3 linked regions of the Nothobranchius furzeri genome follow. The protein of the gene in region 3 interacts with the protein of the main gene of each other region in a biochemical or structural test. Links are inferred from orthologs where the notes say so. Each region holds a gene or a part of one and is shown on either strand. Other genes may lie near its edges.

Region 1 (4,123 bases), on a different chromosome or scaffold from region 3:
ACCGATACGGTTTGTCTAGACTTCTAGGCCGCTGGATGCTTGTAAAATATGAGAAGATAATTTAAATATTGCTCTTTTTTAGGATCAATTATGCTGCTATTGTGATTATTTAGGGCTGAAGTGGAACTAAAACCTTTATCAACGTCACGTCTCTAGCTTAGAATTGATTTTTGGAAGATGCATTAACTCATTCACTGCTATTGACGACTAAAGTCGTCATTTGCATTTTTTTACTGTTTGAGCATCGGAACGAGCCCCCGCGCTGAGAGAACAAACATCTCAGCCCTGAAGCCGTTCTTCATCCACATGCGTCACACGTCACGTGATCAGGAAGCAGAACATCCATGTATTAGGAGATCGTTTTGGGCCGTTCCTGTAAAAAAAGTGAGGCGCGAACCGGAAAAGCGTCTGCCGATCACAAGTCGACAACGGATTATGAAAGAACGGATAACGCTCGAAACACACGGCTTCTTCCTGATGTAAGAGGTGAGTCTCCTCTTAGTTTTGGCATCGACATCATCCTAGCGCGCAACGTTCCGTGACTCTTAAAAACACAGTAAAAACGGTGAGAAACGCTGGCATCGAAGGCTACTAGCGATCAGGAAACGGCTGGCAGTGAATGAGTTAACAGTAAAGCTAATCTGCGCATAATCCAAGTGTCCTGGTTAAGTGAAAAGTGAGGTCAACAGCTGATAAATTACTGCTAATGTAAAAAAAAAAAAGGTCTGAATTATCACAGGATTGCTCCAATAAATAAATAAATACAGGAGTACTGGCAGCGTTTGACGCGTTAGGACACCAGAGGCCACGTTGGTACGTCTCTGGAAAAGCAATCTGCATAAACGCAATCACCAAATGAAGCGTTCCGCCAAATCCAAGAGGCCCAGCTGCAAAGTTAGGCCCATTTTTCCTTCTAAGAGTCAAGAGCCGTTTGAAATTACAGAGGAGCGATGGGACATGATGGGTAGAGTGCCTGGAATGAACTCTGGGAGGGTGAAGCGAGGGAACAAGTCCTTCTCACCTTCAGAAGAAAAACATCTACAGGCAAGTCTGTACTCTCACGTGTCAACAAAGCTGAGACGAGCTGACTCAATGGGACATTTTTGTTTCTTTTACCCAACAATCTGAGCATGAGACTGTGGTTTCACAGTTTCTAAGCTCTAAATTCGCTTCGAGGCCGAATCAGACGTCACCCAAAACCACAGATAACCACGTAGCGCTATTCGTAAACCAAAGATAAGCCAGGAAGGAGCCCTGAGAGAACATCAAAATCACAATCTTTAACATTTTCTTCGTCTGAATAAAAATAACGCAGGTTGGTAAACTTTTCCACCTCGTTTCTTGAGGGAGTTCAGCTTGTTTGTAGCCTTAAATCAAATTCCTGGGTGAGTAGGGAGGCAGCTGCCACTAAACAATTGCAAAAAAAATAGCAACAACAAAAGTCAGAGTTTTGGAAAAACAAATCTTCTTGCATAGTCCTGTCCTGATGTAGACTTTAAAAAATAAGGATCGTGAAAAAATGTTCTGCATGAAGAAAGGGCAATTTTCTTTCAACTCTAAACAAGGGAAGCACCCTTAGTCCTAACCAAGGATGTGACTAATACCTGGAGAAGCTTCAGAGATGTGTTTGTCATGATAAAGTTGAGAATTTGCTTTCCGGCGGTGAGTGGACGAGTGGCTCTGAACCAAGGACGGATCAGTGCATGAAGCGTTACATAACAAGCTAACAACGCCGCCACAAACCGCCTTCTGTGTCCAAATACCCCCCCCCCCCCCCCCCCCCCAAGCCCTCAGAAAGCTGAGAGGAGGCGGTCAAGACCCTGGCCACCTAATTCCTGGAAGCTGGTGTGTTGTTGAGCTACCCTGCGGGATAATCAACAGAAAAAAAAACAACCACAAGCAGAAAAAAACTGACTTTATATTAAATGTCACCGTTTAAAAATAACTGATACGTATTTGTTTGAGCTAAACCACACCTGATATTCAAGTACCTTTTTTTTAAATTGTACTGCAATTAAAATCTACAAAGTAAACAGACACTTTAAAAACACGCCTATCGTTTCCGCTCCGGGACTTTTCTACAAAACAGGTAAACAAAACTGTTTCTGTGTTTAAAAAGAACGAAAGCATGGAATTAGAAAGACACATCAAGAACACACCTAAGATGTTCCGGGACTTTTCTTTTTTATATATATAACGGAAGCAACTTCAAAAAGTCCCTTCTATGCTAAAACACGTGCTATCAGGCTTATCTAATATTGTCATAAATTGTGAAAAGGACTGTTTAATGTCCCTTAAACTTTGTAAAACTATTTTGGAAATAAATTGTTTAAAAAAACACATCTTTTCAAACGTGTAAGGCCGTGCCGGCTAATGTTAGCTTAGCCAATGCGGAAGTAGTTTGTCACATATCAAAACAAAAGACTTAAGCTATTTGTTAAACATAAAAAACGACTAGAGTAATTAGGTAGAGGGTTTTGGAGAGTATTTATGTGTAAATAAAATAAGTTGGAGTTAAACAACTAAAGCGCAAATATTTTTTTATGTTTCTAAAACAAGGCCCGTTTTGGTTCAAGCAGAAGGCCGAGTAATCCACCACTGTTTTGATCCCTGCTCTTCGGGATTTACTCACCACTTGGTATCGGCTTGCTGGGTCCATCCCGACTAGATTCAGCCGGCAAACAAGCCAGGCCAGAAAACAAAAATACGAGCCTGACTTGTGAATGCACTCGGAGTTCTCAGTCACGGAAAGATTTGATTCCACAAAGGAGGAGAAACACGGCGACAGAAATGGCTGCTGACCCGATGAGCTCGCTGAGGAAAATAGACAAGCCAACGTTGAGCAACAGTCAACCAGGCTGGGAGGGGGGGGGGGGGGGGGGGGGGGGGGGGGGCGCTTCCGATCTGACATTTCAAAGTAAAACACTTTCCCAACGTTTTCCGTTAAATGCAACAAAACACACGGGGTAAAGAATGCTTAAGAATATATCAAAGTGCATTAAAATTAACACATTTATGGTGACATAAACAAAATAAAAAGCTGCACAGAGCCACTTGCACTTCGTGGTTGGAGTAAAAAAACAAGATTGCTACAATTTTTAACAAATACTAAAGTCAGCGATTATGATATGCTACAATATGATATGATAGAATAGAATGGAATAGAATAGAATAGAATAGAATAGTAGTCACTATGCCCTAAAGCACAATGGGTGTTCACTGAGGCATCATATTCTATTTAAGCAAGACAAATAAACCCTGTTTTAAAAAGGCAAATAATGTCATTGAAAATATTATTTAGGTTTTTTTTTTTTTTTTTTTACATTTCATGATCACTTCAAAATAATTATTTTTAATGTTTGTTTCTTGTCACTTTGGGAACGCCGTTTTTGTTCTGTCTGAGCATCTTGCTCCTTCCACGCACACCCCATTGGTTAGCTGCCATGCAATCTTTAAACACGCTATATAAATAAAAATAGAATGGTATAGTATGGTATTTTGATTAATAAAAATATTCGAGATAACTAATCCCTGGGGTTTCACAACTGACACCCCTGCACCCACCTGGGTACCATTGGTGTGTTAAAAATCTCATGATTCCGCATTTTTAGCTTTGCATTAATCCATGATGTTATAATTTCTTGAATTCTAATTGACTATATTTTATTAGATTGATAAATCACAATAATCCTTTATTTTACTAGATTTACTTAAACTTGATTTGAATTTTATTGGGGGTTTTTTCTGTAAAGCACTGTGATCATTGTGCTTGTTGGCTATACAAATGAAACTCAGCTTAATTAATATATTTTAAAACGTAACAATTTTACAAAAGCAGTACTCAACTGTGAATTACCAAATTTGTTCTATAGCATTACACATTATTATGAAAATGGGATTGCTTTATCCTGAAAAATTTTAATGGACATACTTCATTGTTATTATTATTATTGTTGTTGTTGTTGTTGTTGTTAATAATAATATTAATAAATATAAAATTTTAAGTACTTTAATTTGAAATGATAATTCTTTCATTTCCGATTTAGAGTCTGATGCTTTGTGACTTGATACTGTGGGGACTGCAGGATTTCCACGTATGTTGATGACGTAATGGCACACCAGA
Region 2 (2,404 bases), on a different chromosome or scaffold from region 3:
TGCAGCAGGCCCTCCAGCAAGTGCCTGGCTGCATTGGAAATGTTGGGTTTCAGCTGCAGAGGCTTGTTCAGTATGTTGTCGTACATCTCAGCTGTGTTGCGGCTGTAGAACGGAGGCTGTCGAGGGGCAAAAAGAACCAGTAAGCAACTTAGCAATCACATGAATATGTTAAATGCATGACGCGTGGCTTACCAGACCATAGAGCATCTCGTATAGAACAGCTCCTAAGCACCACCAGTCTACTGTCCTGTCGTATGGCTGCTTGTGTAGCACCTCAGGAGCTAAATACTGGAGAAATACAACGTAGGTTATAAAAGAGCCTCAAAGCACGACACTTGTGAATAAATATGCTCTCCTTACCTCTGGTGTACCGCAGAAAGTTGACGTGGTCCCATTGGGTTCGATATTCTCCTTACAAAGCCCAAAATCGGTGAGAATGATGTGTCCCTGTGAGTCCAGCAGGATGTTCTCTGGCTTCAGGTCTCTGTAGACGATGTTGAGGGAGTGCAGGTATCCCAGTGCACTTGCGATTTCTGCAGAGTAAAACCTGGCTCTGGGCTCCAGGAAGCAGCGCTCTCTCTGCAGGTGGTAGAACAGCTGCAAAACAGAAAAACACATCATGAAAAACCTGCAGAGAATAGCCTGCTGCTGGGAAATTAGGTGTCAAAAGAAGAAGAGCAGTGGTAGGAAAATACTAAGAGAAAAAAGTAGAGGAAACAAGATGGGAGGAAATAAAAAAGGCAGGAAGGCGACAGCTTTAAAAGTTTCACAAGACAGATGACACTAGGGCCGGGGGGGCGAGAGAAGAAAGAGAGTAAATGTGCCCTGCTTCCTGATGAAGTCCATATTTAATCATCAGTGTCTTTCCTCGTGCAACAATCACAGGAAATTAGCTCGATTAGAAGCAAAATTTGGCCGCCGAGTTTCTCCGGCTGTCCCAGCCCAACCTCTCATTTCCTGAGCTAGTTTCCTTTAGTTTATAAAAAAATACAGAAAGGGACAACTTCTATTCTGCCTCAGATAACAGGATTTCCCCATCTATCTCATCTGTGATAAGATTTAGTTTAAAAGAGCCTTTTCTGTGTCTCGGCGTGTCCTCTGCTCACCTCTCCCCCGTTGATGTAGTCCAAGACAAAATAGAGTTTGTCTGCTGTCTGGAACGAGTAGTGCAGGCCCACCAAAAACGGGTGCTTGACATTTTTCAGGAGCACATTCCTCTCTGACATGATGTGCTTTTCCTGAAAAGAAAAGAGTGCAAAGGTCAGAGACGTTTATACAAACAGGCTTTGTGACGCGACGGAACCCGTGTGCGTGAGTGTTTTACGTTGTACCTCCTTCTTCTTCAGAATGGCCTTTTTCTGTAACACTTTGACGGCGTAAAACTGGTCGTCGGAGCGGTGACGCGCGAGCAGCACCTTGCCGAAGCTGCCTTTTCCAATCACTTTCAGGAAGTGGAAGTCGCTGGGTTTGGCGGAGGGGTTGGAAGACGGGCCAAGGTTGATCTGTTGGGATGGACTGGGCTGCAGGAGGAACGCGGAGCAAAGAAAAGTTAGTGAAGCACATCCAGAGGACGCATCTGTGCATCCCTGCAAATATAATTATATATAATTACTTACAGGAGGAGAAGGGTTTGCATTCATCAGCTCTGCTTCTTGAGGAGGACTCAAGTTCAGAATAGACTGAACTTCAGGGCTGCAAGAAAAACAGAAACAAAAAGTAGTTTGTGATATGGCGAAAGAAAACAATCCTCTGTTGTTTAGCAGATGAATCAGCTGATCTAGGACTCCGGTTGAGTCACAAAATGTCCTCAGAAGACAAATCCCTCGCATTCCAGCTTGTGTTTTTCAACGATTTGACCGAATGTGGAGGCAGAACAATAACATGACTCAGATGGTACTCACTGCTTGCAGGCGTAGGAGTTGGTGGCGAGCCTCTGAATGAAGTCGTTCAGACCCATCCTCCTCTGCTTCATAAAAGCTGCAAAAACACAAACAAAAACAGGAGAAATTAAGATCAAAATGCCAAAAATGAAAGGGCAGGATGCTCCAAACAATAAAAAAAATTAAATCAAAGTACCAGTGAGTAATTCCACAAGGCCTTTAGTTTTAGAGTAAGTCAAGACAGGCTTTTCTGTTTCTGTGTTGACCGTCATGGCGAGCTCAGCTGCAGCTCTCATCAGCTGCTCAAGCCCAGAATCTAACCTTTTACTTTCAGCTCCTGGTTTATAAGCAGAAACCGGGAGGGAGGAGCTGCTGATACCCACTTTCTGGTGGGCGGGACACTAAGGTGGTGACCTCCTCACCAATCAGCGTCCGCTGCGCTCCCTCTGCGTCACAGCCGCGCCTCAGAGCGCTTGCGTCAGAGAACCGGGCAAAATAAGAGGGGAGGACAAAAATTTGGCATG
Region 3 (3,654 bases):
AAACAAGGTAAATATAATTGAGTAATAATTTAAAACATATCAAAGAATAATAATCTTGTTTGGATTTAATAATAAAAAAAGCCTCCACTTTACTTTTTATTTAAAGGTACGTGTCCATACCTCCAGCTCATTTTCATCAAAGATCTTGATCAAATCGATGGGAATGAGTTCTGTGAAGCCCTGAAAATAAAATGATTAATAAAATGATTAAAGTTGTAAATCAGTTAAATAAACATAAGGGTAAGGTTTGGAAACCAAGGTTAGTCTGTGGTTACATCGCCCCCATGTGGTAACTTTTAATCACTACACATAAATACCTCTAAGAAGGCATTCATCTGCTTCTGGACCCGGTTGACGAATCTCCACTGGATGACCAGGCTGACAGAAAAGATAAATGACAACGGTTTGACAAATATTCCTAAAGAAGAAAAGAGAGGAGGAAGAAGAAAGCCTTACTCTATGTATTCCTTCTTGTTCTCATTGGTGACCACCATGTCTGAGCCGCTGGGCTTCAGGTCCACCTGATAAGTCTGCAGACCAAAGCAGAAATGATGAAGGTCAACAAACTCCTGATGCTAAAGCAATTGATGAGGTCTAGGCTGCGTAAATTAACCAATGTAAGGCCAGCACACCTGTCCAAAGTTGTCCTCGTCAATACAAAACCTCAGGTCAAGCTCTGTGGGATCGTTCTCCAGAATCCACTTCAGTGAGTTATAGTATTCACTGTCCTGCAGGGACAAACAAAGAGCTGTAAGTTTTTGTTTTATTTTGTTAAATTTTAGGCCTTATATAAAGCCCAAGTCTCCTTCCTTTCTGGTCGGCTCATGGGTCCCCCGGAAGATCAAAAAAATGAACACAAGTCAACGGGGCTAAAAGTGTTATTTTCTAATCTGCTTCGTCTTACGCCCTGGATCGCACATGTTGTACTGCAGTTTCAATGAAAAGTAAGGATTGGTATTTCGACCATGCCAGTCACGTACTTTGAGATTTGTTAGCTTGTAAGCATGACTACAAACTAGAAATCGCACGTCGCATATTTGACGTCACCACATCATCTCCTCTCCCCTAACGTAGCTGCTGCTTACTACATGGCCAGATTTATGGTGGTTCATTCCTCCTGTGGGAAGTTTGCTGAACTTACAGCGCTTTCCCCTCCGTTTTCTCCGTGTCTGGTTCGATGACGTCGCTTTCGTAAAGCGCATTTGTAGTCCTGGACTTATTTTCACACCAAACCTAAAATATCGTACCCCCTGTTCGAAAATAAGCATTTTCTTGGTAACAAAATGTGTGTAAAAATTTCACGGACATCATATGTGAAATCCATGGCACATGACAAGCGAATTAGAAAATAGCGTTTTTTAGCCCCATTGACTTGCATTCATTCTTTCGTTCTTCCGGGGGCCCACGGTCTGGAAGTAGATGGGCGTGACTTAGGCTCCCTATTCTTGGAACACTAAAGTTTTAAAACAGAAGAAAAAAAAACCAAATATGAAAATAAAAACATGAAGCTCTTCTGAGTTTTAACATCTTAAGGAAACATTTGTCAATAAAAAGTATGTTTCTGTGTATATTTATAAATAACTATCTTTCCAGCGTGAACATCGACGCGACCTACACTCGTTTGGTTGAGCTGACGGATGAACGGACTGATAGTGTCCTGGGTATAAATATTTTTTGACCAACAGTGGATCCTTTTACTTCCTGGCTTATTTAGTGTCAATCAACTTGTGTTAGCATTAGCTCAGTGTTAGCGCAAGCTACGGCAGTGTTGTTTATGACGGCTGTGATTCTGCTTTCAACCAGTAGGAGGAAGAAGTGGGAAAGTTATTAAAATGATGGTGTGTATTTCCCTGTCAATAAAGGGCAGGACATACCTAAATCATTGCAAGCAAGCGTTATTTTTGTGTTTGGGTAAGACCTTACCGACGGAGGGCCATTAGGGTCAATAATCCTGGGAGCGCAATTTTCGAACGAATTTTGTCAGATCGTTCAACCTCAAGCAAGCACATCAGACTCCCTGTAGGAGCCATATGTGTCATTTCTTTTTGTGCACTTGAGAGGAGGCTTGGCCTAATATTATTGGTTAATTGCTTGTGGAAGCACCAGCCTACTTAAGCCAACACAGATTGGACTCAGGGGTGGCTGGATGGGACAAACAGTTTTTTACTGTGTGGCGAGGACTGTGGCTGGGTGTAACGGACTCTGCGGATTGTCACTGGGGCAAGTAACGCATGCACTGAAACCCACTTTAACTGCTGTAAATGGATCATCATGGACATTTTGGAACCAGACAAAATAATAAACATCATCGGAAATAAACTCAAGCTGCATTTCTTAAAGCGCACGTAAAGACCACCCGCAACAGCTACCAGGTAGTGCCAGTGTATAGGGCACTGGCGCTACACTTCAAGGTAAAAAACTGTCCCGTCGGCGAAGGAAGTTTAGCGTCCTCTGCAATCAAGGCAGCAGAGACGTAATTGGATCAGCTGTTTCCTGATCACTGGAGGAACCGCGCATTTCAACGGCGCGTCTGGAAGAAGCACGGAGCGTCGAGCTGTCATTGGGACAGAAGGCGTTTCTGCGTGGGATCTGGCTGTCCTTCCCTCATCGTAGAACGAGCAGCACATCAGCAGACAGCGGCGGGCGTTCTGTCATTGGGGCAGAGGTGTCTTCGTTGGATCAGCTGTGCGGCCTCGTCACTGAAGGGTCAGCGCGCGTCAGAGAGCGGTGCGCATCTGAAGATCGTCGCTGGAGCGGCGGGCGGCAGACCAGCGCACATCAAGGAAGCAGCTCAGCGCAAAAGGTGTGGCACGCGGCGGAAGAAAGGCGGGCGTTCTGCCACTGGGGCAGACGTTTCAGCGTTGGATCCGCTGAGCGACCTCATCGCTGGAGCGGCGGCACGCAGCGGAAGGAGCAGCGAACTCCCTGCCACTGGGGCAGGCGTCTGGCAACCTCATCGCTGGAGCAGCGGTGCGAGACAGAAAGAGCGACTCGCAGCGGAGCACCGCTCATCAGAGGGGCGGCGGGCATCCTGTCATTGGGGCAGGAGACTTCAGCGTTGGATCCACTGAGCGACCTCAACGCTGGAGCGACGGCGCGCAGCGGAAGGAGCAGCAAGCGTCCTGCCACCGGGGCAGGCGTCTGGCAACTTCATCGCTGGAGCAGCAGCGCGCAGTGGAAGGAGTAGCTCATCGCTGAAGAGGAGGTGCGCATCGAAGGAGCGTCATCGCATTGGAGGAGCAACAGTGCGGTAAAAGTACATTGAAGCACAAGAGGTAACCTCGAACACTGGGCTTAGCCATTAAAGAATAAAGACAGTGACTTGTGAAGGTGAAATTTCTTAAGGGTTTTGTTTGGACAAAGGTTTAAGACATTCCACTTGTCATGGCAGAAGAGGAAAATGTTGGTGTTGAGCTCCAAGGGGAACAGAACTTTGCTTTGGAGTATAGATCAGCTGAGAAAAGGGAAGTTAAATTAACAGCCAAAGCTTTGGTCATGAAGATTGGTAACTTAGAAGAAGAAAGGAAGAAAAAGCTAAATAAGCTTAGCAAACTAAGACAAAACATCAACTTACTGAAAAATGAACGGTGTTTAAATGAAGCTGATTCTGAGTATAAAAAGTTCTTGAGTTTGCATGACGAGACATTAGAGACT

The links.
Region 1: of the proteins of nedd4l (region 3) and ndfip2, one has a biochemical effect on the other in vitro, tested with the Homo sapiens proteins (2 studies listed by BioGRID, with this or other methods). The link is inferred for Nothobranchius furzeri from reciprocal best matches to the Homo sapiens genes NEDD4L and NDFIP2.
Region 2: of the proteins of nedd4l (region 3) and sgk1, one has a biochemical effect on the other in vitro, tested with the Homo sapiens proteins (5 studies listed by BioGRID). The link is inferred for Nothobranchius furzeri from reciprocal best matches to the Homo sapiens genes NEDD4L and SGK1.

The regions. Positions count from the first base shown.
Region 1 is NC_091754.1:54,373,726-54,377,848, forward strand, and holds the start of ndfip2 (NEDD4 family-interacting protein 2), read right to left. Parts: upstream 2,810-4,123; 5' UTR 2,660-2,809; coding exon 2,633-2,659; intron 1-2,632. UniProt on the Homo sapiens protein: Activates HECT domain-containing E3 ubiquitin-protein ligases, including ITCH, NEDD4, NEDD4L, SMURF2, WWP1 and WWP2, and consequently modulates the stability of their targets. As a result, may control many cellular processes.
Region 2 is NC_091742.1:622,966-625,369, reverse strand, and holds part of sgk1 (serine/threonine-protein kinase Sgk1), read right to left. Parts: exon of another isoform or gene 2,177-2,404; coding exon of another isoform or gene 2,077-2,176; intron 1,978-2,076; coding exon 1,902-1,977; intron 1,693-1,901; coding exon 1,617-1,692; intron 1,521-1,616; coding exon 1,332-1,520; intron 1,239-1,331; coding exon 1,107-1,238; intron 598-1,106; coding exon 361-597; intron 289-360; coding exon 193-288; intron 117-192; coding exon 1-116. UniProt on the Homo sapiens protein: Serine/threonine-protein kinase which is involved in the regulation of a wide variety of ion channels, membrane transporters, cellular enzymes, transcription factors, neuronal excitability, cell growth, proliferation, survival, migration and apoptosis.
Region 3 is NC_091746.1:58,541,526-58,545,179, reverse strand, and holds part of nedd4l (E3 ubiquitin-protein ligase NEDD4-like), read right to left. Parts: intron 729-3,654; coding exon 633-728; intron 531-632; coding exon 457-530; intron 379-456; coding exon 318-378; intron 181-317; coding exon 121-180; intron 1-120. UniProt on the Homo sapiens protein: E3 ubiquitin-protein ligase that mediates the polyubiquitination of lysine and cysteine residues on target proteins and is thereby implicated in the regulation of various signaling pathways including autophagy, innate immunity or DNA repair.